Linked DNA regions of Caenorhabditis elegans. The protein of the gene in region 1 purifies or fractionates together with the protein of each later gene. This does not show direct contact. Each region holds a gene or a part of one and is shown in the gene's direction. Other genes may lie near its edges.

Region 1 (15,752 bases):
AGGGTCACTCGGGGCATCTGCTTCGCTTCTCTTCTTTTTCCATTTTTTTTTTGAAATTGGTTGTTGTTGATCGAGATGCGATGGTTTCGGGAAATACTGATAGCAGTTTGCAAAGAAAAAAAATTATTTGATGACACGTTATCATATCAAATTGGGAATTGGCAAATAGCCAACCAATTTGGTTTCCAAATTAATTACTTGATAAGATTGGTTCCAATGTGAAGGTTAGGTTTTTGATAATTGGTGACGTTGGTGTTTTCGGCTGAATACTCAGAAAGGGATTTTTCAAGGAACAAAAATGAGCCTCAGAGTTATTTAAAATTTCACATCATGTTCTTTTGTCGCATAGTAGAAAAAAAATGTCAAAACAAAAGTTCAATGTCTGAAACATCTTTGTTGTTTTCAGTTTTTAGTTTAAAGTCCACTGCATTGACGTTTTGTTTTTACATAAATTTCTAAAAACAATTTTGATGTCAAATTACAATATTAAAGTTTGAAATTGGGGAAATTTGAATGTGCATGTGATAAATTAAATTTGAAGGAAATTGTTTTTGAGGACCTAGGAATGATAAACGAACTGATGATAGTATTCTGGGATTGCAAAATTTCAAAGGAAAACTTGAAAAAGCTGTAAAGAAAATATGATTTTTTGTAGCTTTAGCCTTTGATTTTTTTTAAAGCATTAAAGCAAAGGTTTCAGTTCGATTAGAAAAAGTTTCATATTCCATGTAAATCCGTCAAAAAAAAGTTCATTTCCAGCGAATACTAATAGTCAAATTTTCAATTCATAACCATTCACCACGATCGTAATTTAGTTCACGATTCAGTTTTTAAATGAATTATTTCAAAAAGTTACTTTAAACTAGACTCGTACAAAAAAATGAACAAAAAAATGAGTTAGAAAAAGTCGAGCTTACACCTTTTCAGTGCAAATTCGAGGCCTGTAACACTGTTCAAAAATTGTAAATTTGCAAATTTTTGATAATTTCAAGGATGCGAATACGCGCTAAAAACTGAAAATACTAAAAAAAAATTTGGGAATTTTAATTTTGAAAAAACAAAAATCGTTTTTTCACCAATCGAAAATTAGTCAAGACTGTCAAGACTAACTTTCGATTGGTGAAAAAACGATTTTTGTTTTTTCAAAATTAAAATTCCCAAATTTTTTTTTAGTATTTTCAGTTTTTAGCGCGTATTCGCATCCTTGAAATTATCAAAAATTTGCAAATTTACAATTTTTGAACAGTGTTACCCTTTTTTTCCAGGCCTGCAATATTTGTTTAGTAAATTTGCCATTTTTTGGGTAAATTAAATACCTATATAAATTGAAAATATAAATTTACAAAATTTGAATTTTTCAATATTTCAATACTTGTTAAGTTTTCTGCAAAAAAAGTCTCTTTCCCAAATTTATATGGCCTTTGAAAAATAGTAGTGCAGTCTCTAATAGTCTTGCACCCTAACGGACCAATTGAAAATTAGTCTTGCATGCAAGACTGATAGAGAAAATACGGTATATGGAATATTTTCTGACACTTTTTTAATGAAAGGCTATCGTAAATGGGAAACGTTTTCAGACATGTAGTACGTGAGATAAGGTGGCTGAAAGTGGTATAATTTTTATAACCGTGCAAAAAACTTTCTAAAATTGTTTTTTTTTGTTTATAAACACGTTCTTTTTTATTCAGTTTCAGACAATGCTTTCTGTATTTTTTAACTCAAAGAAAACTACATAAATTTTTGAATTCAATGGTAAAGTCGGGAACTGTAATCTGAATCTTAAAATCCCAAGCAATTGCATCATATCCATATTTTTCGAGTAGTAGTTATGACCTGAACTAGCAGTATTCAATTGAAACTTTATTTCATCTCCACTTCCTCAATGACGTCATCTGCAAAAAAGACCACCGTGCTTCTTTTTTCGACAACACCCCATCAATACCTCATTATAATTCATTGTAATAAACATGACGTCATGTTAAACCGAGGCGCTCTCTCGGCGTTCCATTATCCCTCAGTGGTCAGATTGTTTGCTGTGAATGGACGGCACTCATTAATGCAAATGAACGACGACGGGATAGGCCAAAGGGCGACGGAAACAATGACGTCAAGTCCAGCTGTGCATAGTCTTTGTGTCACCACGAGAAACGCAAGCATCTATCATTATGTATCCAAAAATCTGATGACATCGTGATCCATAAAAAAAAACAACTAAACAACGGAAAATTTGAAAATTAAAAAAGGGGTCCATTTTTTTTCAGGAATTTTTTTCAAATACCTAACCCTGGCGGAAATCTGCAATAAAAATTAGAATTTTAGTAAATCCTTTTTATGAATATAGCACCCAGGGATTATAGTAACCGGAATGGTAGTTTTTTAGTTTTGAGCTTGAATGGTTTTTTCGTTCTTTTCAGATATGAAGGCCAGTACAGAAATTACATTTTTACAAAAAAATTAGAAAAAATAACTGTCAATTTGATTAGTTAGACTCAAAAGGTGTCAGTTATTTAGCTCTTCCACTTACATTTTGAAAGTTGGTCAAAATATTTTTAGTACTTACTTCAAGGGTTTTGTTGCTAAATCTGTGTTGTATTATTGAAAATTGTTCGTTTTAAACACTTTCAGCAGTTTTCCCTATTGCTTAAAAATAGTAAATTCAATTCAAAATGACAAAATGACAAGCATTCGCTTCGGAGTTCTCATCAGCGGCGAAATTATTCCAAATGAAATCCCGCCCAATTGTGCAATATTTCGACTTTCCCGCAAAAGCCACAATGATGAAAGCATCATCCGCAAAAGTAACTGTTCAAATAGTTTTTAGATACCGTATATTCTCTATTAGAGCGGCATGCCGCACTAATTTCCGGGCCCTTCGCGATGTGCGCTCTATTAGAGACTGCCGTTCTACTGGAGACTGCCGCACTAATTTTCGATAACTAATTTTCATTTTGAGGTTACTACTTTTGAGAGTAGTAACCTTAAAATTCCTTAATAAAACCTTATATTTTATGGTAAAATTCATGAAAATTGTGTAATTTTGCCTCATAAAGACACTAAAATTCAATATTTTAATGGAAATTTATGAATTCATTCAAAAATGAACAAAAATACCATCGAAGAAATCGAATAATTGAGGTGGCTCTCGCAACCAAGATAGGGGGTGCCGCACTAATAGAGACTGCCGCTCTAATTTTCGAAAGGCAAGTTAGGGTGCCGCTCTAATAGAGAATATACGGTATGTTCTTTTTTTCTAGTTATAATACATATAACAAAAAACATCGAAAATGTGTTAAAACAAAGATCAGAAGATGTCTGTTGTTTTTGTTTTCCAGCAGAATTTGGGCAAGAAGTACGATTTCAAAATTTTTGAGATTTTAATTTTTTATCAGAAAATATAAAAACTTTTATTTCTATTTTATATAATATTATTCAACAGTAAAATAGCGATACTTGTTATGGGTTTAAATGATTGGAAAAAAAACCAAAAAATTTAGTTTTTTTTTCAATATCAATCTAGTTTGCATACTTTTCTTCTACATTTTGAGTTTTAACACTGGGTTGAACTCAATTTTAATGTTTTCCACTTAATCCATTTTGTCTAATTTTTTTCGAAGATTAATAAGCACTTCAGACATACATATCAAACTGCGTGATTAGCCAGTTACTGGGTAAGAAATAATATCGGTGTCTAGAACACTTGGAATGAGCAAATGTAGTTCTTTGATGGTTACGAAGTGAGCAACTTACAGCTCAAACATCATCAGGTTAGAGAGTATTGCAAAAGAGAATATATGGACTTTGGCGTCGCGCCATTCCAGAAAATCTCCTGCCTCAACTATTGCCAATTTTCCAACATCATCGTGCATAAATACTAGAGAAGTCTTCAGTAGAATTAATAATTTTTCGAAGCAAGTTTTTAGTTTTTCTCGATCTCCAATTTCCTGGTATGCCAAATGTTGTTTAATTCTTTAAACATTGCGTCTAATTTGAATTCAGTTCCGCGTTGGCGTTTTTGGTTCTCTACATGAATCGAATCATCAAAAACAACTATTCCACTGACACTCTAATTCGAATTCCACCGGTTTCTGAAAAAAAGAGTGTTCCTCTATTTCCCCTCTTTCGTGAATCAGTTGTAAAAATCTAGTCAGTTATCACATTACCAAAGTTTTCGAAAATACGAATCATATTCAAATTATGACTTTAGGAATGAGCCGAATGACTTGTTTGATGACTTTAAAAAATATGGTATTAAAAGAATGGGATTTAAATTGCCTTAAATCCCATTCTGCCAACTTGCCTATGTCCATGTTTAAAAAAAAACCAGCTTAGTTATAAATTTCAAGCCACCATTGAAAACTTTTTTGACTACTTCGAAATGTTTTTTTTTAGGGTTTCCTATTAAGACTTATTCTCATTGTTCAAAAAGTTGTTTTTATTTGACGCAAACCTTCAAAGTTTAAAACATGCAAAATATAATACAACACAAAAATAGGTACTTGTAACTTGAAATAATATTTCAATATTCCTTACAGCAAATTCTAGTTTCTAGCATAAAACACCTGTTGCCGGAAAAAAATCAGCACGAGTTTTTGATAGAGCACATTTTTTTCAGAATTAGTTTTTCAGAACATTCCTGATGTTTGAAGTTAGTTGCCATTTTTCAAAATTTATTCTGTTTTCTATGACAAAATAGTAATCGAGATTTTTTTCCGAATAAAAAAAGTGTCTCATGCATGAAACATATTCCCCATATATTTTTATTCTTTTCCCTGCGATAAACTTTTATCCGTAATGTGCATTTTGGTTGTCTCCCCTATGCGAACTTTATAATCTGATATTCAAAAAGTTTGTTATTACCGGGTTCCAGTTTTTAATATATTTTTTTATTTTTATTTATTTTTTTTTTAATATTTTTTTTTTTTAATATAACTATATGTTTTCATTTAGCTTTTAATAACAAAAAAAATTCAATAAGTGTACGAAAATTTAAACCAGGCCGCAAATAATTAGTTCCCTGGAAAAATAACTTTTTGGATTACATAGTAAATCAGAAGCTGATCGAGAACGAAAATGACTTCCAGGCGGCTGATCTTGAAAAGGAATTGTTCATCTGGAAGATGGACAAAAAGAACTTTAACATTTCTAGTTGTTTGTGCTCTATGTAGTTGTTTTCAGAAAAGGTCAAGGGCACTGAGGCGGGAGTTCTCAAAATTTTCAATCGTCCTTAGGACTTGCTTTTGAAAAGTCATCAAAAGTTCGAAAGATTGAATAATTTAGTAGAAAATCTTAGAGTATAGTAAATTATCGCATTTTTCGTAAGCAGTAGATCATTGTTATTATCACGGCTTGAAATACTCCTTTCTAATTGTTGTGCCTAAATTTTGAAAAAAGTTTGCAAATATGTAGCAAAAACATCTACCGAATTGATCTATTCTGGGAACTTATTTTGGCGGCATTGTTTTATGTCAAAACCTTGTCTTTTTTTAAATACCGTCAGATTTTGAAGAATTTCTCTTGCTCACATTTTTAGGCTAAATTAGGATTTAAAAACAGTTTCTGTTCGATGTTTGAAATAAACAATCCCAAACGACATGGTTTCAAAAAAAAAACATGAATCATTTTGTGATAATCCAACTTTGTAGTTTCAAGTCGAGATTCGTGCTTATCCGAGTCTCAAACTGAGTGGAGCCGCAGTGTATTCAGTGTGATCTCTGGATTGACGGCATGATTTTGTTAGTTTTGTTTCTTGCTTTTATAAAACTTTCTATTTTTTGAACAAATTGCAGGTTTCATGGTTTTGTAATATTTTCTTTAAAAAATATTACATACGAATAGAAACAAAATAATGTTTTCTGAAAAAAAAATTTTATCTTCATTTTCCAACTTTTTATTTATACTGTAGAAGAAACTACGTAAAAATCGAAAACAAGTACGTCACTGTACATACTGTGTTGTTGAACTGAAATTTTCATGTCTGTGGGAAAAAAAAACTGTCCCAAACATTTTTTCTGGTGTATGCAAGACTTCCCTGTAAAACATATACACGTTTTCCTCCGTGCCTACCCCATGCCTACCTACCTATTTCTAGACTGTTTGCCAGATTGCATAAATACATATCTACCTTCATTTTCCGTTCAATCTTTACATGCCTGTAAAATCATGATAACTTCATTATTCGCTCACATTTCATTTAACAATCCTATTTATTGAGTTTTTTTTTTGATAAAAATCTAAAACTAACCTGAAAAAAAAAAACAGTCATCAAAACTCAAAAGTTTGTTTCTCAATTTTTCCTATTTCCAACAACAAAACTGTTTGGCAATCTTTATTCTTTAATGTTGTGGTTTGTCAAGAACACAAAAGGCTTGTGATTTCTTTGAAACCTTGACATCATCACTAACAATAAACAACCAACTGGATTAGTTCCTTTACTTTCAATATATGATCTTCTCAGAAACTGATCTTGTTCTATGTATTATTTTTTGATTTTCATTCTCCATTTTCCCATTTCTTTTTGCTTCCCGGTTGTCTCATCATCATTTTTTTTAACTACCATATATGTTTTCACATAAAACTGAAAAAGTTATCATTCTCTGTCACACAATTCTGACACGATGATTTTTCATCAGCAGACAGTACTGAAATTTCTGCACAATATGTCCACTTGTTATTCGCTTTTTTTTTGCTGTGTTACACGCGTTGTTCGATTTCATTGTGTTTTTCAGCGCGTGATGTGTTCTTCGGTCTTAAATATATTTTATTCGTTTTTTTTAGTCCAGTCGCCATTGTATTGCGCGGTTTCTGAACAATACCCCAAAAATGAACTCTTCTATTTTTACTTGTTTGTAAAAGCATTGAACTTTAAGGCACTAGTTCCTTGTTGTGTCAAATTCACTTTGGGGTTAGTCTTTCTTCTTATTGTTTTTATAGTAAATTCCAGTACTTCGTCAGATTATGTGTTTCTGTTCAGTTTCTTCCAAACTTTTCTTATCACAAATTTTCCAACTATGTCTATGGCATTCACTGGGTTTATTATCTATCTGAAAAAAATCAAACTACGTTTAATATAGGTAAATGTTAAGTGCTTGTATGTATACAACGAGTTAACAATTTTAAATATTCAACACGACCTTTAATTTAAGTTATGTTCTTCTACTTCTTCACGTTTGGCAGCTCGTGTTGTTGTTCTCTTGTTTTTTGTCAAAAAAAATTTCGCGGGGCAGATAGCTCAGTCGGTAATGGTGGCCGCTAGCAATCTGGAGGTCACGAGTTCAAGTCCGACCTCACCCCCTAGGTTCACCCAGCCTTTGTTGGGAAGTGTAGCAATACAAGGCTGGCCCCCGGCTAGGACGGTGCTTAAATTATAGCCCAGTGGGAGCACCACCAGGCAGTTTACCTGACAGATCCGCAGTGCATAGCACTCGAAGAACGGATCGTCTTTTAATTTATTAAAATTTAATTTTGCTAAACACCTATTGTATTTTTAAATATATCCTTCGCTCTTCCAGTCTAGCTGTTAAGTAGCGAAACAGTCGAAAAGGTGCTTATTAAATATGGTGTAACTAAAAACATCGGAGAGACATGTTTAGGTAAATTATTTTATGTAAATTTATGCATTTAAGATTGTACATGAATAAGTTGACAAAAACTTTTTGAAAACTTTTTCCTTTAAATACCAAGTCTGGTGCAGACCATATACTGCGTTGCGAATTATGTATGTACTCTGATAATTATGTAGTTCATTTGCTCGAGTTCATGAGAACTTTGGAGATATTTTCATAAATATTTTTTGAATCGTCGTCATCTTTCTCCCCACCGATCTTCGATTTCAACATTGTGATGCCAAGTCACGCCTATTTTTTGTCATTAGAGTGAACCTTCTTGTTTTTCTAGGGCTAAGTCGCTCGAGGGAGGAACTTCTTCTTCTTCTTCTTCATTTTTCGCTGTCAACAATATGAAGGTGGATGGAGAGGCGAGAAAAGAAATTGACTCGAAACCACATTACGTGTGTGATGCGCGTCTCCTTTTTTCAGAGTTCTTTCTCAGTCGCCCGCCAAACCAGGAACAAAAATTTTCGGTCGCGACTGGCGGCCAACGCGCCCGCTTCGCCCCGCCGCTCACAATCGCAACACGGCAAACGCCGAGGTGGGCAGAGAAAAGAAAAGACGCCATTTCGAAAAAGGGGGCGCTCCCTTTGGATCCCCCACATCCACACAGACAAAATAGTCTCAAGTGAGAGAGAGTGAGAGAGAAAGAAAGCGAGTAAGGGATGAAAGAGAATTGGCGTCCCATGTTTTCTCTGACTCTCTCTATCATCATCTCTCGCTCTATTTTTTTGTTCATATTTTTTTCTCTTTTTCCCCACGTTTACCACGAGGAGCGGGCATTCATTGCGGCGCGGTTGCGTCGCGTCCACTCCTCTTTAAGAAAAAAAGGAGACAAGAAAAAGCTCAACAAAATGGGAGATGAAAAAGAAGCGCGCACACACGTATAAACATACACACTAATGATAGACAGTAGAAGTAAGAGTAAGGATCTCTGTATGTGTGAGTGTGTGTGTCGCGCTCTCGGCCCTTTCGGCCCTGTTGTGCTCAAATATTTGCTCCCGTTCCTCGCGTTTTCTTTACTTTCTTAAACTTGCAATACCCAATGCTCCGAATTTTACCAATATTTTTTTTTCGAGAACAATTGAATGGTCCATTCTCTTTGTTGTAGATCAAACAGTAGTAGCCATTCCTTCCTTTTTTATTTATTTTTTTTCTGTCCGTCAGAACTCATTTTCTTTTTCTCAATTTTTTCTCCATTTCAATCAAATTATTATAATGTCTGGTCATCATTACCTTCACTTCACATTTCTTCTCCAACATTACAGTTCCTGGTTGTCCTTTGCTGTTCTAATTCTGTCAAGTGATGTACTTAGACAATGTTCTTCAAACCTCATTTCTCAAAAATACATGGGTTTGTCCCTTTTTTCATTTTTATTTGAATCATCAACTTTTAAATTATTCTGACTTCATTCTCTAATTTTCAATTTCTAAAGCAGATGCTGAGATCAAACTTCAATTAAAAGATTTTTATTTCGCTACATATGTGCTCTCAAAGATTACTCTTTTTACAGCTTCAATATTACTTTATGTATCGTTTCAAATTGATAAAAATGCATTTTTCTTTAAATCTGTGCAATTTGTTGGCAACAAAATCTTGAAAAATCGATTTTTTGACTTGACCCCATTTTATAGTTCAACCGGCAGAGATATCAAATCTCAATCGATTTTCTTTTTTTTCCCTAGACTTTTCCAGCATTTGTTTTTACACTCTTCCTTGTCTATTCTACATGTTTTCCAAAATTACGTCGTTTGTTTTCAGCCATGGCAACCGTTGCCCCCAAGGGAAACTGCCTTGTCGCTCGGGCGATACCGTCCGATAGCCACGCCGACCAGCTCACCGATCTGTTGTGCAAACTGTCCGTCAATGGTGACGCGAACCAAAAAAGTGTCAATAAGGTAGGCGATCATACGTCCACTACTACAGTAATCCGTTTGTTTTGCTTTTCAGTTCGAATCGCAGCACGGCGTAACCCCATCGGATTTCCGTGACATTCAAAACATCAGATCATCTGCTTTGGCGAAGAAGACAAAAACTTCCAAATTCCAGCTTGACGGGGTGACTCTGTTCGCTGATCTCACTCCAAACAGCAAGTCTAAAAAGGTATATGGCCGAGCAATATGAGTGACAAAAATGATGTAGTTGATGTAGTACTGACTCATTTATTTTTTCTTCGAACTCTGTAGCTCTCACTTTTCACGTAGACAAGTGCACACGACATTTGCATCACATCAAATGCAGATGTTTCATTTTCATTTCTCAGCACGACATTCACGTGATGAATTTTTCAATGCCACATAGAAATGAGCAATTATTATTAATGAAGCTTTTCCGTTTCAGAAGACTGAAAACCAGGAAACCAAAGAAAAAGATGAAGAAGCCGAGGAAAAGAAAGATGGACCGCCAAAAGATGACAAAGAGCTCAAGATGAAAAAAGAAAAAGAGCAGGAAGATGAAAACGCGGAACTCGACGAACAGAAAAAAGATGGCGATCTTTTAGGCAGAGGCCCAGTGCACAATGTTCGTGTTGCCACAGGAGGAAGTCATCCATATCACAGAGGTTAGAGATGTGGGGAAAAAATAATTGGAAAATCATAGGAACGCATAAAAATAATTTCATTTTCGTGATATGAAAATTATGGGGGGGGGGGGCACATTTTTTTCCAGCACAGCGTAACAGAGCGTTTCGTGCTTAGATCGCCGAGTTTTTTAGAAATCTGTGCTCTGATAGCAAACTAGAACTATTCATCCCTCAATTCATTTCTCACTCTTATGACATCTTCAGGTTATTTGATTTATTTTTTGAAAGTGATTTGTTCCAAGTTTAAAACTCCATCTAAATTCATTTGCAAACTATTTTCGAGTTAATGTAAAAAATAATGCAAAAATGATGTACTGAAAAGTTTTGGTCAGAAATTTTTAGCACATTTATCTGGCATTTATTCATCTACAACTAAAAGTGGAGTAGCGACATTGGAGATTTTATCTAAAACTATTTATAATAACACAAGTAAATATCAAAATATTGGAAACCATTCAAATTTCAAAAACTTTGTAAATGACGGAACTTACTAAATCGAAGGTTGTTTTTTTAAATAAAAAAACATAATATAATTTTGCACGTTTGAACCCTTCCAATATTAAAAAATAATTCGTATTATCAAAATATATAAACTGACATATGAAACGTGGCTTATTTTTTTATTTTGTTTTTTATTTAAGCTCCTTCCATTCCTGACCTTTCGTTGAAATTTTAATTTATTAGTTCATTAAAAAAAAGGGGAGGAGCTTAAATAAAAAACAAAATAAAAAATAAGCCACGTTTCACATGTCAGTTTATATGTACATTTTGATAATAGGATTCCTTTTTTAAGAATTGCCACTTTTGACTGTAAGTTTATTTTTTGAAAGTTTTGAAAAGGTTACCTTGTCAAGCTTAGAAGTGAATTCGGAAAGTTTTCACTGGCGCTACTCCACTTTTAATGATATTTTACCATTTGCACGTGGTGTCAGAATGTCTCATTTCGGCTTGATCTACTTAGATCTACAAAAAATGCGCGAGCAGAGATGCAGAGTTCTCAACTGATTTAGCATGGTTAAGAACGTGCAGATGTCACATTTTTTTGGACAAAAAATTCCCGCATTTTTTGTAGATCAAACCGTAATGGGACAGCCTGGCACTACGTGCATTTGGAGTAGATCAATTTAATTGTTATGTTTAGTTTTTAGCGTTCAGCCTTTAGTTTAACAACATTCATACTAACATTACTCGAATGATTAGGGTATCTATAATCACTTTGCATTTAAAAATATGAAATAAAAACTATGATGTTAACGGCCTCTCTAACAAATTGATTTTCAGCCCAAATACCTTATGGATGCGCCGCACAAACACCTATCACCGACATTTCAGCATACACTGGCTACGGTAGCGGCTATGAATGCGGAAGCACTTGGTCGCTAAGCCCAGACACCACGATTGGGTACGAATTAATTACCTTTTCCTTTCGTTTATTTTTCATGTTAAAAGGGGTAAAAAAGGGCGATGATGACATGAATCGTCAGCTATTCACCCTTGCTAGTTGAACAGATATTTGACACGTTTTGTTTGATAAGGAACCTCACATCTTTCAGGTCGATATCCGCGTCGACAACTCCTGACACTGTGTTGTCATCTGATGGATACGGATCAGCATCTCCGCCTCAACACAGTCCAAAAGAATCGTTGCAGAGTCCGTTTTCCGACATCTCGTCTGCTGGTAGGTTTTCTGAATAGGCACACATTTTGTGGTGATCACACTAAATACAAATGGGCGAGAGGTCAAACACCTTAACGGGGGGTAGTAAATGGTGTTCACCCACGCGGCCGTAGTTGGTGAAAACGTGTAGGCACTGTGTTTCGATGGTCACGTACGGAACACTGATACGACGGCGGCTTGCGATGTTTGTACGTTTCTGATAGATGATAAAAGTGAACGCTTCATATCATTTGTAGTTTTTGTGCAAGTTTTGACACCTAAATCTTTTAAATTTTGAATTTTTTTTAGTTGCCTTGTTACAGTTTGATCCAAAAAATTTTAAGTTTATCCAATTTTTAGTGTGATAAAAACTTGGAGCCAGGCGAACTTAAATCCAACACCCCATGCCTCTGATGTCTAATCTTGACATCAAATTAGAACATAAGACTTAGGTACTCTAATTTTTAGCTTTAACACTATTAGCAACCAATTTCCAGCTCAGCTACTCTCTTTGAGTCAAGCTTGATTTTCCATCTAAATCAGCTTATATTAGGGCGGCAAATAAGTTTTGACGTATTTCGTCAATTTACGGTTTTCCTTAAATTTTATATGGGTGACTTATAGTAGGCAGTGGGTATATACAAGCTTATTAGTTTCAGCTATTTCAGCCTGCATCTTGGTACTTTGATCTGAAAAAATTCAAAATTTTTTCGAAATTTTTTTTTGCGATTTTTTGGGTTAGGCGTTGAGTTTCGATGTTAATATCTAAATCAATTAAGTTTTGTTTGTAGATTACAAAAAGTGAATCCCGACTCAATTGGTCCACACCCAAAACTTTTATAGCGAATCAAAGTCAAAAAGTAAAGTGCACTAAAAATTTGTATTTTTTCAGATTCAATCTTTTCTTGAAATTTCAAACTAAAAAGTGGATACGTTTATCCAAACAATTCATTTCATTACAATTCTGGTCAGATCCAGACTCCTTTGGGGATTTATGAGTTTCAACTTTTGAGTGATCTGCGATGTTCAGAAGACCTTTAGGCTATTTTCCAAATTATATTTTTACAAAAAAGCAACTCTGCCTACTATAAGTCACCCATATAAAATTTAAGGAAAACCGTAATTTGACGAAATACGTCAAAACTTATTTGCCGCCCTAATACATATGTAGAAAAACTCCTTATATATTCTGAGTAACAGTCCCAAAATTTTAGTACCAGACGAACTCCCAGGCATCATAGCTAAAGAGAAAACATCAAGGGTGTTCATATTTTAAATGCGACCTTTTGATTTTCCGATTGTTTGATTATTGTTTTGATTACAATTATTAGTTTTAGCGAAACGTATCTCTCAAAAATATTCATATTCTCCGCCACTTTTCCCCTGTTCCGAAGTGTTCCGTTGGTCGAACACACAACGTTTTCCCGGAATATGTGTAGTCCGATATTATAAAAATTACAATCTTCTAGATACTTCGCGCGTCCTGACCCCGGAGAATAACGAGTTGCCGGAGAGTCTGCAGGATTTCATCCTGCAATACTCGAACCAGTACACCAAAGAGGAGAGCATCCGAGGACGTCCACCATCTGCAGATTCTGGGGTGTCGTCTCCGATGTCGGCTCGTTCAGCTCCATATGCATCACCACACGTGCCACAAGGAACCTGCAGGTAACCAATTTCTAGACGAGTCATTGTGCATAGTGAAACTAGTAATTAAATACTTACGTTGGTAGGCTACTATTTGGGAGATAAGAGAAGTGACTTGGGTGGCCAGTGGCCACCATGACAACAAGCTTCACTGTGATTATATATGTATTAGTTGAAATTTGATGTTTTGAGTGGCAAAACTAGCATCTTTTTTTTAATTTATCAACATCATGGTTTTGTTTTTTCAGAAGTTTTTATACAATAGGCTATATTATTCTCGAACTGCAAATATTTGAGTATGAGTTACAGAATAAAACATGTTTAGATATAGAAATCGCTAGTAAGTTTAGGTAAATGGATGTTAAAGTCAGTTCAATGAGCGTTCCTTCTGCTTTTTGCTCGCTTAGTTTTATCAGATATTATTGCAATATCGCAGAATTGAAGTTTTTCAATCAAAGGTTTCAAAGGCCTTGGCATGGATTGAACTCAACTTAACGTATTCTACTAAGTACTCATATATCAGTATAGCTTCCAAGTTGGCTGAAATATGCCTACCTGAGTGCCTATAGAGTAGGCCAGTAGGCATATTTGTAAAGGTTTTCGTTCATTAAATTTAGTTATTGGAATAAAAATTCTAATATAGGCGGTTCGGCGAAAAACCGGGGGTATTTTTTTCTTGTTACCAAAAGCTTTCCAAACAATAGTCAGACTATTTTTTGTTGCGTTTGATAAATTGATCATCCATAAAGTTCAATAACCATAAACCAGGAGCATGTAGCTTTAGACTCCAATAAATAAATGTTTTCCTTACTTTGAATTTTTCATTCGACAGTCTCCGCAGATAACATTTTCAATTTTCTTAATGTGTAAAAGATCAAAATTGATCGATCAACGTCCGAGAAAAAATTTGCGTTTTTGTTGCAAAAGCTGATTACGGTAGACGTGGGGGGCCCTATCACGACAATGATCGCCATCCGCGGAAGTGCGCCGATCCCCCCCAAGTCTTCTCCCCTCCGGGTAAGACGACGGATAAGATGGAAATTAGCGGCTTCGCTTCTCGGGCTGTCCCCATAGTCACTTTTGCCCATCGAAAATAGTGTTTCTCGAGGTCGAATCGAACCGTGTTATTTCTGCACTACAGGGCCGTCGCCGGCGTTTTTTACTTCCTGGTTGTATTCTTATTCAGTTCTATCCACCTTGGCCACTTGCACCCCACGCCATTTCGTCGCCACCTTTTTTATTAATCTCAATATTCCTTGCAAAATCCGAATAATTTAGGGAGAAACAAAATCTAGCAGGTAGACGTTCTACTCTTGCTCTATGCTAAATGAGTGGTACCCAAGAAGGTTCGTTTCATTGTTGATAGATAACAGTTCACACATTTTGCTGAACATGTCATCCGATATTACAACTTTTTGCTAGATATGAAACGAAAAACGAAAGAAAAACGAAAACCGGTACCTGTTAAGTTCCGCGTCTAGTTCAGAAGATTTTGATATTTGCGTTGAGAAATAGACAGCTTTGAAATCACGGAACACCTTTTCCTTACTCGATGTCTTATCATCACCACTTCTAGTCAAATCAATGAACTTCGTAGAGAGGTGTCGATCTAGCAGCTTGGGTAGAAGACACAACGATCAACAATTGCATTATTTCAGTGGCCCAACTACGCCGTCGTTCAACCAGACCCGCCTCAGTCCTCGCACTAGCGAAAATGGAATCACAGCTAAACAGCGTCTCAACGCTATTATTCCTGAATCCGATCTTGCAACTGGATTTCACTGGGCCTGCACTACAGTAATATTTTATTTTTCGTTTGATCATTTTCTCACAAAAATTAATTTTTTTAAAAATTTTTTTCTTTCAGTGGAAGAACGTGCTTACTAACCGCGATGCAGATGGCGACACTCCACTCCATATTGTTGCAGCTCACAATGACCTCGGTAAAATTTACGCGTTGTGTGAGACTCTTCGTAAGACGATGAACGAAAACGACGACAATGTGTTCAATGTGAGCAATAACTTTGGAGAGACACCACTTTATGTCGCGGTTTTGCAAAGAAGCATTGAGGTAAGCGTTTTCAATATTTAAAAAAATCAGTAATCTCGTTTCTCAGGTTGTTGAGTACTTGCTTGAGCTTGGAGCTTCTCCAAACAGTCGTAGCTCTCGCGCAGTTGGAGATTCACCACTTCATTTCGCCACAGCTCGTGGAATGAACAATATGGTTGAGGTAATCGTTTACAAAATTTTCCTATCATCAC
Region 2 (15,752 bases), about 13 Mb from region 1:
CAAACACTAACCAAAAATACGGTTTTCTTTTTTCTATAGGGGTGTTTCCTTTATTTGCGCAATCTCCCCCCGGCTTTTCACTTTCTGACCGTTGTCCCAATTTTACCCCATATTTAGGTTTTTTTTTTCAAAACTCGTCAAAATTTAATTTTTCTACATATTTCAAGTTCAAGACGGTAACTTTAAAAAGTGGAATGAATTGAACTACGAGGCAGCACGAAAAAAAAAGAATTCTTCAACGTCTTAGAACTTTCAACTACAAAGAAAACCAAAAATAAATGCTCAGACATCTCTTTTTCATTTTTTGCTCTCAACATTTTTTGACCAGTCGGCGGTTTTTGGTTTTAAAATAGAAAAAATAATAAATCTAAAAACTGAAACTATTTAGTTTCTTTCTTTTTTTAAATTTTGTCACGGTTAGAAAAATACCAATCAGATAATAATTTTTACCCTCTCGGTGTCCCCAATTTTTTATGTTTTTTTTTTCTTGCTAAACTTTCATTTTCATTCTTCCAAAATTTCTCCCGAGGAAAACGGAAGAAAGCGGGAAACTTGAAGCAAGGTCACCCCTATTGCTGCTTTTTGAGAAGGAATGTGAATTCATCCGAAATAAATGAGATTTGAATAGCAGTTATTTTTAAAGTCTACTTTTCCACTAATTCTACTTTTTTCGATTGCCAGCTAAAGCCCCTTTCATAAGGTATGTAGTTAGGTCCTGATTTCAGATTTTTGTAAAACGCTTAAACAACAAAAAACAAGTATTTTTATGTGATTTATTAATTTATACGCACATCTCATTATATGCATTACATAAGATTTATCAATTTATCACTATCACTTTTTCGATTCATTTTAAATCTTATTTGCCACCACACCCATTTTATCATTAGTGTTTTTATATTTCTGAGAAAATAATTTTGAAATCTTATGAGCAGTGAGATGAGGTGAAGAAATTGCTTTCAAAATGCTTATTGACTCAATATAAAAGTTAAAAAAATAAAAAATATTTTGATACATTTTTTATATATTTTACATTTGAAATTTTTTTTAATTGGAAAAAATCATAACTTTTACCACTTTTTCGGAAATCGTCGATTGAAAGAAAGTTTTCCTCGAGTGTTATGTTTACTTGTTTTAAATAATTGTCACTTTTGGATTATATGAACATTTCAAAAAATTTTAAAAAAAAACAATGTTTTTTGAAAATTTGTACTATGATAAGTGATTTTCAAGGCATCATATAAGTAATTTTTAACCGTTTTCCTGGCGCTACTCCACCTTTAAACATGTATTAAGAAATTTCTACTCATCATAAACCATATTTGTTCCCGTTTTCGTTCTTCTAAACTCATCCAAACCGACGTCTTCCATTCATTTTTCTATGTTTACTCAATGAAGGAAGCCGAATTCTCAACCGGTAATTATGAAACTTTCTTGACACTTTCGATTCCTTACTTTATTTCTAAGTCTCATGGGGTATTCCAAGATTTTATCTTTTGTCAGCTGCTTGTCGATTTGCAAACTCAGTTCTAATTGTTCATCAAAAGCCTCTTTGCAATTTGCATTTAAATTTTCTTTGACTTTCGTACTCGATTTTCTTGATTTTTGGAACTCACAAAACCTTTTTCAAAAAAATATATTTGTGATCTACCTGCTGGATGCTTTCTATGGTAGTTGTTTCTTTTTGCGGTCTGTTTTGTCGGGTAGATCAAATGCTTGGTTTTTGAAAAAAAACTGAAAAAATTTCTTGAGGGTGTAAAATGCAAAAAAATTAATTCCCGTCCATTGAACTACATTGACAAATGTGAGGAATGTGCTAAAAATCCTTAATTTCCAATTTCTATTTTCCTTCAAAACTGACAACTTGAAAATGCATAAAATCATTAGATCATTTAATTTTTGGACGGGCCTACACTTCAGTAGTCAGCAAAATATCTTAAACAACTATTTTGGGGTGGCCAGTTTAGTTGAAAATAAAATAAAAAAAGTTAACAGATCTTGTAGAAACTTAAAGCTTGCAATACTGTAGATTTTAAATTAGAACAAAGAAAATAAATATTTTAAAAATGGTTTTTTTTGTAATTCAAACCTATTTTTCAATTTAAAAAGTTAAGAAGCGTTGGGGGTTTTTGAAGAAATTTAAAAGTACTTTCAAGTTTTACTAACATTTGACCGAGTAGACACTGATTCTTGGCGCTATGTTCAAACCTGTTTGTTCTACATACGATGTCGATGATTCAGGTGTTCTTTTGAATAATCGAATGGCATTGGCTCCTTTGTGAGCCTTTTTTGTATGCACCTCTTTTACTCTACACGAGACCGCGTCTAAGTCCCATGTTCCCAAATATAAGCTCATACTCGTCATGGCTTTCTTTTCTTCTTCACCGCCCGCAATCATTCATCGGTTTGAGTTTTTGGGCTTTTGGCATTCGAAACACGGATGGGATCGAAACCGAACTAGGGTTGAGGGCAGCAGCTGCCGACACAGACACCACCAAAGAATTTCGGATGAAATGTTTGTGCAAATCGCAAAACAATCGGTTTTTTTCCGGACAGCGCCCCCTCTCTTTCTCACAGAGCCTTTTCTCGCTTGTTGTTCCGCGCGCGCTCTGCCGAATTGGGTCTCTGAGGCCTAGGCGCTTGCGTCAAAACGGAAACATGCAACCATGCATTTTTGACATCCGACTGTTGTTTGTACCACCTTTTGTGCAACAACTGCTTACTTTCGCGCACACTTTGCGCTTCCGCCTACACATTTATGAACAGACAACCAAAAACTATCCGTTTTCGTTGCAGCAGAAAAATTATCACAAACGGCGTGGTTTTTTTGATTAATTACTTTCTTTCTGGTATTCCCAGTGTTGATAAGATGTCTGTTAACACCTTTCGTTTGGTTGGTTTTTTTTCAAAAAAAAAAGTTAGACGTTTTATTTTGTCATATTTCATACAGTTCAGTATATAACCGTATTTTCCATATTATTAGGGGTACACATAAGTTCCGGGTCAAAATTTATAACTTGTTTTGCTACGTTTTTTTTTTAAATTTATTTGTTTATTATTGGTTTTTGTAAAAATGCAAAAACTTATGTTATCAACTATGATTTTTCGTTTGACAGTAGTTTCAAAAACTTTTGACCCCTACTCGGACCTACTATTTTCAGGCTTTTACCCAATATTGCGCTTGAACAATATTGCGCTTGCGGATTTTAGTAAAACTTTTTTTAAAAAACCGTTTAATTTTTTGTACGTCGTCAAAAATTTTTCAAATTTTTTTCCCAGAAATTCTTGACTTTTTAATACAAAAATTATGATTCTTTTTACAGTTTGAAACTTTATTCTTGATAAATTCCCAAAAAAAAAACTCAAAAGTTTCCCAAAAATTTTTTTCTCGTTTTAAAGCTTAAAATAAACGCAAAAGCCTGAAAAAAAGTGGATTCGAAATCCGAAAAGTTCATTAAACTCCCGTCAAATGGAAGGTCCTAGTTTATACCATAAATTTTCACAATTTGAAAAAATCTATACAGAGCTACAAAATTTATGCATTTTTTAGGCTCGGGACTTATTTGGCCTCCTAACAGATTGAAGCAATAAATCACCAACTTGCTTCAAATTACCAAACATAATGTAGCATTTTCCTGGTGGCCAACGTTCTCATAGAATACAAAAAACATTTGCAACCCGATGAGACTAGCATTATACAATTTCTCATTTTATTCTCCAATTTACGTCGTTGGTGTTGTGAAACTTCACTTTTTTGCTTCAATAGTCCAAATTATAATGTGGAAAAAAAAATATATAGCTGTTTTTTTTTTGAAAAATCGTGTTATGATAGGATAAATAATAATAATAAGCAGGAAAAACACATCTCTGCTTCTCTAGCTTTTTCGACATTCATATTTTCACTGAGCTAATCCTTCGTTTCTTCTTTTCCATAATTCCCTTTTCCACTCATGTTTTGAGTTGTCTTCGTTCAAAGGTATGAGAGCAAGCAATGAGCAGCAAAAAGTGGTTTACATGTGAACTAAAAATGTTCATTAGTGCTGTTTTAATGCTCTTCTTTTCATTATAGTTTCGGAAAGTGTTTTAACATGTTTTGTGCTTTTCTTTTTGTTTTTTTGTTTTTCAGACATTTCTGAGATGTTTTACAATCATTTTAAAAAATTATGCTCAAGAAAAGTTTCAATTGTACCGTCAGACTTCGAAACAAGTCATGTGTTATTTGAAAGTGTACCATAAAAATATGCCACTTTCTACTCTCAACCTCTCAAAATTTAAATCTTAAAATGTTTCAGGGCATTTTTTCACTACTTTGGAGGCTTCTAGAATTGCTCCAAATGCTTTTTACAAACTTGAAATGTTTTTCGGAACGTTTGCAAGTTGGTGAGTACTCTTGGAGACTTTAGATTTTTTTTTCATTTCATTGGCTCCAAAAATTTTCAGACATAAACAAAAATTAAAATTTTCCAAAAATCTCTCAGAGTGTTGTTTACCAACTTTTAAACGCTCTGAAAAACAAAGTTTGCAAAAAAAATAACATGTGGAGCAATTCTACAAGGCTCCAAGGTAGTGCAAAAATGCAGTGAAACAATTTTAGATCAAAATTTTTAGGGTAGAGAGTAGAGCTTTGCCCCCCCCCCCCCCCCCATTCTTTTAGCTTATTGGATATTACTGACAATTATCAAATACGTTTTGTTTTGTTTTGAAAATCACATGGACTTACATTTTTCACAATAATTTTTGGAGCATCAGTGGAAATTTAACACGATATCTAAAAATTAATCTCAATTTATTTTTAGAGTTGTACAAAACATTCACTGCAAATTACCAAGAAATCGGTTATATTTTTCAATTCGATGCCTCCCAGTTCTATGATTAATGAGTAACCAAGTCACATTGGCTGTGGCTTTGTCACGAGATTCTGGTGGTCCTCTGGCTATAAAAAAAGGAAGGCAAATTAATTCTGAAAACAGAACTGATGCCACCACAAGTTTGCAAGCCGAAATTGCGAAATATAGGCATCGGATTCCAATTCCTCCCAATGTTTTCGTTTGAATTTCCTCTTTCGTTTTCAAGCCATTTCTCCCTTTTCTTTCGGTGACTCGAAAAAAGAGTAGTGTGTCCGTAATGTTGCTCTTTTGGGCACCCCCTTCTTGGAGCATTCGGCCCGGTTTCTTCACTGAATGAGGGGGGAGAGACATGGAAAAAGAGCTTCTCGTCGCCGGGGTACACCAACAAAGAGTGCTCTTCCTTTTTGCCGTTACGCCTCTTAATTATTCGACGGCTTCTTTCCCTTGAGCTTCCAACTCATCAGTGCTTTTTCATGATACTTGTGTGGGCTTTTAATAAGTATTTGTATACTCAAATATGTCCTATACTCGATAGCTTTCAATCTCTGATAGTTTCCTGCTTCCTAGTGAGTTTGGGAAGTCGTTGTCGTTGTCATGCATCAGATGTTATTTTTTATTTTTGTTCAGTGCCTGAGCACGTCTTGAGCAGAAAAAAACGGTCATTCATTTTGGTGTTGCCTCTGGCATTTGCTGTCTTCATCCTCATCTTCTTGACACTTGATATTTCCTTTTTTCTTTGGTTTTTCCTTTCATTTCATTTCATGGAATTCTCATCTAAACTGCGTGGCTTCTGTTTACTCTTCTTTTCCCATCCATCAGAAACGCTTAAGCGTTTTTATTTTAATTCTCAAATTTCACACTTTATTTTTTATTTATCACGCTATCAAAAATGTAAAACTTTTTATTCAAACATAAAGTATACTTTGATAATTTATTGGCACCACAATAATTAAAAATCCTAGTGAAAAAATTTGTAAAACAGCTTTCAAAATTTTTTTTAACACAAATAATTAACACTTTTTGCCAGTTTATATAAAATTGAAAAAAAAAACATTGAAAAGTTGTACTATGGCATTTTGGCACCATAGATGTAGTTGAAAACACTTTTCCCAAAACTGTACCACTTCAAGTTCTTGATAGTTTCAAAAAGTAACTAATTAACTAAAACAAGAGCACTCACTACATAAAGGCCGGAAAATGACGACCGACAGTGATTGCTAGTAGGATATAAATTATGAATTCAAAAAAAAAGATTCGTTTTTTTTTTGGCCGAAGGTATTAGAAGAATCCAATCAAATCGGCCCCAACTTTTTTCTGTACTGCAATAACCCCGGCCGATGGAATTATACAAGTTCACATCAATATCGAATCAATCACTATGCATAGTTATCGGATGTGTTCACGTTAAGATATTTATATAGAATAAGTCTTTTTTTTATTATGTAAACGTGATTTCAATTTTTTTTTTCATTCTATAATTTTGGTTTAAATAATAGAAATTGGGCCCAAATGACCGAATAAAATTGTAAAAAAAATAATAAAATTTATTAATTGTTTTTTTAATGATTTTTCAATTTTGCAAAAACTAAAGAAAGGAACGAATTAAAATGAAACTCCCGCAGAAGTGAGTGACGTCATTTTTTTATATTTTCGGGTTATCTAGCTAAATTTATAGGTAATTTTTTATTTTTCTCATATATTTGGTTTAAAACCCCAGTTGTCATTTTTTCAGACATTTTTACGTGAAGAAACCTTGCAAATTTATAATCAAATGTAGAATAAAAAATAAATTTTTTAAACCAATAACTTTAGCCAAAAATATTAAAAATGACGTCATTAATTTGGAATTCAATTTTACAATTGAAAATATCATTAAAGAGTTATGAATAATTGAAAATTTTATAAATTTTTCACAGTTATATTTCAAAAAGACTCTACTCTACGATTAAAATATAATTTCTGCTTTAAATTATCTCAATAGCCAATTTATTTGTATGTGTGTCCGTTACATTTTCTTTTCTCAAACTAGTATTCCACACACACAACGATTCCTAACCCCAGTGTCTTCTCATTTTGCTCCTATTGATGAATTAATCCAATCAGTCACGCGCAAATGTCACTCACACATGCCCTTTGATGAACAGAAGCAAAGCGTTCAGAGCATCTGCCCTTTCAACTTGCGCTCTCATTTACTGCCGACGTTGAAAAAAAAACGAGCACCGAGGAGTCTTGGAATTGAGTTTAAACGCTTTCCTGAACGTTTTTTTCTTGCTTAACTTGATACATTGTACTCTACATTTTTCTGACTTTATAGTTCATCTTTCCAACTTTCAGGAGAGTGGAGGGCCTCACGAATCGAGTGTTTGAAATGCAGGCGGCTCCGTCCTGCTACGGCAGCATGGTTGCTAGCACATCAGAAGAAGTCACAACATCCACATTATCGCGGGGACCAATGACCATGTGAGTTTGTGAAGTTTTCGAAGACATCGCCGCGTAATCATGTGAAACTATCTCTCTAATCTAAGGAGCCCAAAAATCACTCAAAATTTGTTTATGTGCAGTCTCTACTAGAAAAAAAAACCGATCTTGATGCACATTTTGACCGGCTCAAAATACATACACATTGTGTTTTTCCACCAACCCACACACTTCCACACCAAAATCTCCAGGGACATCACGTCTCGGGCAAAGTTCGGTTTTGGAAAAATGCTACAAAAAAGTTAGTGGCGGAAGTTGAACCTTTATATTTGCAACCAGCTACGTCTCTAAAAAATTTTTAAATTATGAGTACTCCGCCTGGCAATTCAACAATGTGGGTATACAATTTGTGAACACAAAAATTTCCCGAGTAGAATGTTTTTCATTTTTCTGCACATTTTATTACGTAACTTCAATTTCACATTTATTTGCACAAGCCTGATCCGTAGAAGGAGCAGTGAGCCTGAAAAATGAGAGTGATTGACAGAAAGATAGATTGGTTTTGAGTCGGCTCAATGCTTTGTACTGAAGTTTTTTAGTATCACATTTTGATGAAATGCTACTAAATGAGAATTTAATTTTGAATATGGTAAGGTTTCTGGTGTAAGGTTTGTGTTCTCAAATTAACGAATTTCTTTATAGAACCTCACACAAAATTGTAAAAAAATTCTTTGAACATAATTGGCTATTTTTAGCAATTTCAAAAATTTGCCAATTTGCCAAAACTTTGACAGAAAATTTCAAAAAGGAGAGGAGTAGTGCCAGTTAGGACAATGTTTAAAACTGCCCTATGGAGTCAAAATAAAATTAATTTTATAATAAAGCTGTTCACAAAGTTTTCGGAATTTTTTTTATTTTGTGTCAAAAAGTGACAATTCCTCAGTTTTTCCTAATCATAATTTTGGAAATCAACAAAAAAAATATTTTTTCTAAGACTTTTTACTTCAATTTTGTTTCAATTATTCGTGTTCTAGTAGTGCGACATTGCTTTAAACTTTCATAAAAGCTCGTTTTTTTTCAAAAAATTTGGTAAATTGCCAAAACTCTGACTAAAAATTTAAAAAAAAAACGTAAAATTTTTTGGAGTGTTTTATTAGAGTATTTAAACGTTCTGGATCATAATAAGTGTGTACATTTTAGGCGCTACTCCACTTTAAAAAATATTTTCGGTGTTTCTTCTCAACTTTGTGAAATTTTTCTGAATCGTGCCAAAACATACTTTCGATTTTTTTCACATTTCATTTGAATTTAATGCTAGAATATGAGAATTTTTCTCAGCAAACTATTTTCATTTGAAAAAAAAACGCGTTCCAAAGGAAGTTAGTTTCCCAGACTACGGAAATTGGCAAGAAACAGAGTCATTCTTCATCTCCGCCGTCCGTTTCCACTTCAACGTTACGTCTGGCAAAAGTGCGAACATCTTTTATTGAAAAACCTCATGAATAAATCTGAAACATGTTCATAACCGATTCTGTCACCTGTTGAGACCCTCCTAGTTGTCGAACAACAACCAATTACCGGCTAAACACAATTTTCTAAAAAAGGGGGTTAACGTTTGAGGCTAACAGAAATAAGTCTATTGACCAAGTAAAATCATTTTGCTATGCATAAATAACTAATTTTACAGGTCTGTATCAAAATCTAACAGTCAATTTATTGAGGCTCCTGCTTTTTTCTACGATATGGACACTGATTTGAAGGATTTGAAAGTGAGTTTAATTTTACTCGTAGTAACATTTATTTTATTCATTCATTCATATTGAACGCGTTACACTTGTTCCTTGTTAGTACACTCCACAGATTTTTATTTCTTGTTTGTATATAATTTTATTTTTGAAAATATTTTTTTGAAACCATTTTTAATAGAAATTGGCAATTGACAATATTTCAAAAAATAAACGGAAACTGTTTAAATTTCTAAAATTTTTGAATTAAAGTTATGGTCGAACATTTTAATAAATTTATTTCCTGACAAAATGCCCTTTTTTTTTAGCTCAAACTTCCACGTTTTAGTAATGCCTTAAAACAATAATCGGTCGCACAAACTATGAAAAAATCATGTCAAAATTAACCTTTTTTTCCAATTTTCAAAAAATAATTTTGTTTGAAACTTACCGAAATCAATTGCCAAAAATGTTTGAAACTATTGGAAAATTTAAATATAATTTTCATTATAATTTTCTCTCTCTCATTTTCAATTTCACAAAAAAAAAAAATTAATGAAATCGATTGAAATTTAAAAGTTGGGTTGTTTGGAAAATTAGCTTTAAATAATAGAAAATGGCCCGTAATGGGCGAATACTTTTGTTAACTTCATAATTCATAATTTCATAATTTGTTATTCAAAAATGTGTTTACCAGACCGCACTAAAAGACGTGGATTTACTAAACGACTCTGGCTACCGATCGGTAATGGAACGATCCACTCATCCATTTGCGACGAGTCTAGTTTTCCACGAAGACAATGGCTTCGATTCTGAAGACGACGCAACGGACGAGCATTGGGGTTGGTTTGAGCGGGTAGACTTGTGTGTGTGTGTCTGTGTAGTAGTTTTCGCAAATTGCGCAACTTAACGTATCGTAAAATAATGACAGAAGCGGCCGTACTCGTCCGGGTGACCAATCATCCGCTCTACGAATAGGTTATGGACAAAATAGGCGCGAATATATATATAGTACGGTATTTTGCGGGATTTCGATGCACGATCTAACTTTCTATAGTGCCCGTATTATACAACTGGCCAGGCTGGCTTGGCCCACCGCGCGGGTAAAGTTGGCCGCAATAGTCACTTTCGGTTGCTTCATTCATATTCTACCTTCGCGATTACTTTAGTAGATTTCTATATTTGGTACATGGTACCTCCTTTATTAGCATGGAGAAATTGGAGGAAACAAGGTTACAAGATTTCCACAATTTAAAAAAAACTTAAATTTTGCAGATGGGTATCTCACAGTGGGAGGTGACCGAATTAAAATTCGCGACATGTCCGACATCCTGGCGACTAGATACGCTTTCATTTCTGGTGAGTGCACATGCTCAATTTTAGAGGACAGACGTAAAAAGGGCTATAAAATGTGGCGAGAAATGCTACTAAATTCCTTGAGAACCCGGCACAGCCCAACTACCAACTCATACATTTGCAATATGTCCGGCATTCTTTTTTCGCTTTTTTTTTACTTATAACACCTTTTTTAAGGAGCTCGCACCACTGAAGGATTGACAATTGTAACGTTTCCGGACTCTAGATCGACGCTTCCTTTTGAAGACTACTCACTTCTTGTGAAGTATCTTTTGCAAGTTCCTCCGTGAGTTGCTTTTTTTGGGGAAAATTGTTTTAAAATGTCAAGTTTGTGCTTAAACTTTCAATGGCCTATTTTAAACTAAAAAATGTGAATTTCGAGCTCAAAGGAATCCTAGGTTCGGTCCACAAAAAAACATTGATTTAAATTTTTAAATTTCGATAACTATTTTTTTTATTTTCACGGAGGAATTTTATGTTTAAAAATATTTATTAAAAATACAATACATAACAGAGTAAAAATTTGAATGATCAAGTTTTAGAGATTTCTCGTCGATTTTAACGAACTTTTTACAGATTTTTTAAAGTTTACTATCAAAAAGTGACAATTACTCAGTTTTTGCCACTATAATTTTGGAAGTCGACAAAAAAATTTTTAGATTTTTATGCATTAATTTTGTTCAAATTATTTTCGTTGTAACAACCTGAGTATCGCAACATATCAAATTGGCAATTTTTCAAAACTTTGACTAACAAAATTCAAAAAATCAAACAATTGTTGGAGTTGTTTTATTATAAGTGCATTTAAAAAGATCTGTAGCACCAGAAAATTTTTTAAATCTAAATTCTTGTAAAAAATAAAATAAAAAACAAAAACTATAGATTTTTCTGAATAAAACTAATATTTTCAGCCTGGAGGACAGCCACAAGGGTTTTGTGATAATAATCGATCGCCGGAGTGACAAGTGGTCTTCCGTACGGACTTTACTACTTCAGATTTCTGTAAGATTTATACACTTTCTTCTGAAAATCTAGCCGTTGTGGTTTCACGCGGCGCGTTTTCAGTTTAGTCGTGAACACCTATAAATCTCTTTTGTCGTGTTCAAAAATTTCACTTTCACAGTGTTTTCGTTTGCTAGAACACCTCGTTATTGCTGCTGCCACACCACACCAAGTGTGTCCACTTTCTCAGATCTGTTGACACAGTCGGCACTCGATTTGCCAATGATTTTTCGATGCATTTCGGTTTCACTTTAATGTTTACGTGAGAGACGCCTGGAGAATGTCACCGGGCATGCGCGAGCTAAGGTATCATGCAGAGACCGGATATCTTCAGTGCTCCACGCTGCTTCATGTTTACAATGCGCACTGATTTTGATGATGGGTTGAGTATCACTTTACTTCGCAGACACCCCCCTCCACTTGCGGTCATTTTTTATGATTGTTTTATATGTACGGTGCTGGCCGAAAAATTATATTTCTTTTAGTATTGTGATAGTTTTTTTTTTGAAATGACTATAATTCCAAAACTAGAAATGCTTTCAGAAAATTTTAAACTAACAAAATCTTGCATAAAAATAAAACGGCCGACATCTGGCGAGACCACTTTTGCCGGTGGTTGCAAATTTACATTTTACATGGGAATTTTATGAAAACAAATTGATCTTCTTAAAATTTTTTTTTATTTTTAACACTCGTTAATTTTTTTAAATACGCGCCCATTTTGAGCACATTTCTCATAAGTCGTGAATAATTTTTTTTGAACTGTTTTTGATTAAAATATTGTTGAAATAGAATCCTTACCATCTCTTTCATCATATCTTTACAAAACATATAATCAAAAAATGTTCGAATGTGGTTATTCAAGTAGTGCCGGAAAATTGAAAGTGTTAAAAAATGACGTCACAACTGTATTAAAATACATAAAAACATGTATTCATGTATTTCAATACAGTTGTGACGTCATAAATGTATTTAAATAGATTTTGCAACATTACTTGAATAACCCCATAAGTAACCTGATTTCAGAATATACATAATCTACACAGCATAGCGGTTTCAAATAAAGCTAATAAATACAATTCATAAAAAATAATGTGAACATACTTCTATTTGGTTTTTAAGTTACAGTGGTTTTAGTAATCATCATCAAAAACAAACTCGTAAGATGTCGGCCGCTTTATTGTTTTCGTGATGATAATAAATAATTCAAGTGTGTGAAAACAAATAGACAAAGTTATGGGCATTATCTTGTCGGCTAAAAATTGTTCGAGATTGCATTTCTAGGTTCGGAGTTATACCCATTTGAAAAATTAATCAAATGAATAAAATAGATACTCAAGGCGATATATACGGTTTTTTAACAAAAATTAAATAAACTGCAATATTGTAGGAGCTTTTTTTTTTCAAAAAAATCAATTTTTTAAAGGATTTCCCTTTTTCCTGGCAGTTCATTCAATCATCATTGTTTTGCATTGACTTGTATACATTAAACCATAATGACGCAAGGACCACCCTTGCTAGTACTTCCGGTGTTTTGAAACCGGAGCTTTGTCGTCTTTGAAATCCACTTCATCTTTGAAGACATCCGTACATTTTCTTTTCTCGAAATTTTTTGAAAATACTTTCATGCACTAAGTGCTTACTACAGCCGTCGAATATTTTTTATGCATGAAATTTCTTTAAACATTTCGAATTCCGGCGGCCGCTTTTTTGTTGGCTCCTGCAAGCCGCCACCTTTCACCTTTCTTTTGCACTTTAACCCGGTCGACCACCCATCAAACTGTCAATTATTCATTCAAGCAGAGCAACTTTCGATATAACTGGTAGTTGAATATCCTGGTTTTTGCACAAAATGCCCCGTGCGCCTAGAGTTGGCCTTCTTGCTTCCTATCAAAAAAAAAAAAAGACGCGCTTGTGTCGATCCCTAACGTAATTAGGACTCGCGTTGCTTTAGCTTAGTTTTGAAGACGAAAATAAATTGGAAAAAAGAGAGTGCAAAAACTGAGAATCTTTCTTCTTATGTTTCCTGGTTGTAAAAACCAGCAGCAGTTTCCTGTCTTTCCGCAGATGTGTTTGGTTCTGTTTTCAATACTTTTTACTTTTATGTATAATTTTTGCAGTCATTCTTCCCTGGAAAAATCTGTGTGACGTTTGTTATCAAGCCGGAAGGCGTTCTACAGCGTGCTCTTGAAGTTGGGTATCGTGGAGCAGCCGACACTTGCTCATTTCAGGTTTGAAGATTTTTCACGTTTTCCTCATTTGAAATTATATGATTTTTAATCGACTTAATATATGTACATAGTTTTCATGATTAACGTTGTATAGTGCAAAGCGCATTGGAATGGAAACTATGCATGTTAATTGAAAGATATAGGAAGAAATGGAAAGTCGGCAAAAACGAAAGTGGGGAGATTGAACTTCCGTAGTTTTGTTTAATTTGTGAGAGCAAGAAATAGGTAATATAGATTACTTTAACTCATTTTAACTCACCTATTTCTTAACTAAACTTTTCAAAAGCTGAAATTGCATACCTTTTCTGACAATCATTTTATATGGTTTGATACCTTTTTTATTTTTTTTGTTCCAGTTATTAAGAAAGCAGGCCTCCTAGAACCCTAGCCATATTTTTTATTTTGAAAAAAAAACTATATTCATTATTTCTAAAATTAGTTGGAAATTATTGAACTTGCCAAAATAAATTTAGCAGAATATAAATAGCAACATGTGAACAAAACAAAATAATTTACTGGAAAACAGCATTTGGATTATTTTGCATCAAAGTTGAAATACAATGTACATTTTTTCAACAACATTGATACTGCGTTTTTGTTCAAGTAAGCGCCTATTGTGCCAAAATGATCCAAAAATATCATAGTAAGACTTCTCAAACATTTTTTAAAAATTTTTAAATGGCAGTCGAAAAGTGGCAAATACTGAGCTTCTGCCACTTTTTGAAAAATCTAAGGCACAATCCCTAAAATGTTTGAACATTTTTATTTAAAACATGAGTACCATAAAGTTCAAAGTAAAAAAGTTTTTTAATCGTCAACTTTCAAATAAAGTGGCAAAAACTGAGATTTTTTCAATTTTCAAAAAATAATAGAAAATTTGGAAATTTGTTCTTGAATTTTTAAACTATGATAATTGGTCATTGTGGTGTGATAGGTCTGTTTCAAAGCAACTACCATACTGGCGGTACACCACCTATAAATTTTTTTCTCGATGTAAGTAATCTAGGTAGGTTTTCTATAATAAAACCTCACATATATTAATTTTCTGTTTGAAAGTTTGAAATTTCACAAATAATGACAATTTCTAAAAATTAAAATATTCCACGTTATAGAAATTTTCGGTTTTGCGATTTGTGAAAAAAAAAAGTTGATTCCCAAAAAAGTTGTTTTTTCCGCTCAAAATCAAAAAATTTTAACACTTTCAGACTAGTTTGATAATTATAATTCAAATGGTAACATTTACAGGTGATCCAACTCGAATCGTCGGCCGAACTTCGGAAATACATTCATCACGAGTTTTTGACAATGGATGTCGGTGGCCTTATCAAGTATAACCACTTGGAATGGGTGCAGCACAGAATGGTAAGGTGTTTTCTGTTTATGAATGATTACCTTCCCTTCATTCCTTTGTGAAACGGCGGCGGCTAAAACTAAAAGAATTAAAAAAAGAAGAAGAAGATCTATGTATAAGAAGCCCGTCGACAGGTGAGGTGCGAATTGGACAAGGTGTGGCGTGCCCAGGTGACCAGTCCTTTCCCCCCTCTCTCATCAATTGACGGCGTATGCCACCACCATTTCCTCTTCACCGAAACCTTGCCTTGTCCACCTCACCTCTCATAAGGTCCTTTTGCCGTGTGTCGTCCAGTGCACAATGAGCTCATACGCACACATGCATTCGCATTAAATCTCGGCAGCAGAGGAGGGCGTTCACTTATTCACTACCTTTCCGCGCCATATTTCCATACCTCAAGTGTTCTGGTATTCACGTCGGCCGGGGCCGGTGTCCTCAGCAATTTTGGGGTGTGTACCCGTCTACTACTTTGTACTTCTTTGTTCCCCCGATATTCTTAGCATTTCGTCGACATCATCTCGTAAACATCAAAATTGTACTAACGGGGCTGTGCTCTTTTTCTCCTCTCAAGGCCAGCCGCCCATCCGCCCCCCTAAAATCAGTTGACCATAGCAACTAAGCATTGTGAGCGGGGCCCAGCCATTTCATATTTTTCACCAGTGCGATCCCAACCTGGAAATGCTACGCTCATTTCAAGGATATTGGAATTCTTATTCCACTCTGGTCAACGAAAAAGACTATACAAATGTAAGTGCAACTGAAAACAATCAAGGAAATGGAAAAAGTGCCTTCTTTCTTTCAAGTGCAGATATAATTGGCGGCG

The links.
Region 2: the proteins of nfki-1 (region 1) and cgef-1 fractionate together in Caenorhabditis elegans (co-fractionation; one large-scale study listed by BioGRID). This does not show direct contact.

The regions. Positions count from the first base shown.
Region 1 is NC_003284.9:15,345,872-15,361,623, forward strand, and holds the start of nfki-1 (ANK repeat-containing protein nipk-1), read left to right. Parts: upstream 1-9,366; 5' UTR 9,367-9,368; coding exon 9,369-9,503; intron 9,504-9,555; coding exon 9,556-9,708; intron 9,709-9,945; coding exon 9,946-10,165; intron 10,166-11,467; coding exon 11,468-11,588; intron 11,589-11,739; coding exon 11,740-11,864; intron 11,865-13,312; coding exon 13,313-13,511; intron 13,512-14,589; exon of another isoform or gene 14,590-14,680; intron 14,681-15,148; coding exon 15,149-15,287; intron 15,288-15,357; coding exon 15,358-15,561; intron 15,562-15,607; coding exon 15,608-15,721; intron 15,722-15,752. UniProt on the Caenorhabditis elegans protein: Acts downstream of the receptor complex composed of ilcr-1 and ilcr-2, which is a signaling complex that modulates neuronal activity and animal behavior in response to sensory neuron input. Mediates signaling of the complex.
Region 2 is NC_003284.9:2,764,863-2,780,614, forward strand, and holds the start of cgef-1 (DH domain-containing protein), read left to right. Parts: upstream 1-7,179; 5' UTR 7,180-7,215; coding exon 7,216-7,307; intron 7,308-7,330; exon of another isoform or gene 7,331-7,442; intron 7,443-8,952; coding exon 8,953-9,034; intron 9,035-9,686; coding exon 9,687-9,831; intron 9,832-9,961; exon of another isoform or gene 9,962-10,139; intron 10,140-10,264; coding exon 10,265-10,348; intron 10,349-10,522; coding exon 10,523-10,631; intron 10,632-11,256; coding exon 11,257-11,347; intron 11,348-13,142; exon of another isoform or gene 13,143-13,420; intron 13,421-13,467; coding exon 13,468-13,578; intron 13,579-14,823; coding exon 14,824-14,940; intron 14,941-15,037; exon of another isoform or gene 15,038-15,223; intron 15,224-15,752. Other genes in the region: F55F1.2 (Transmembrane protein 72), read right to left, coding at 4,746-4,768, 4,826-5,198.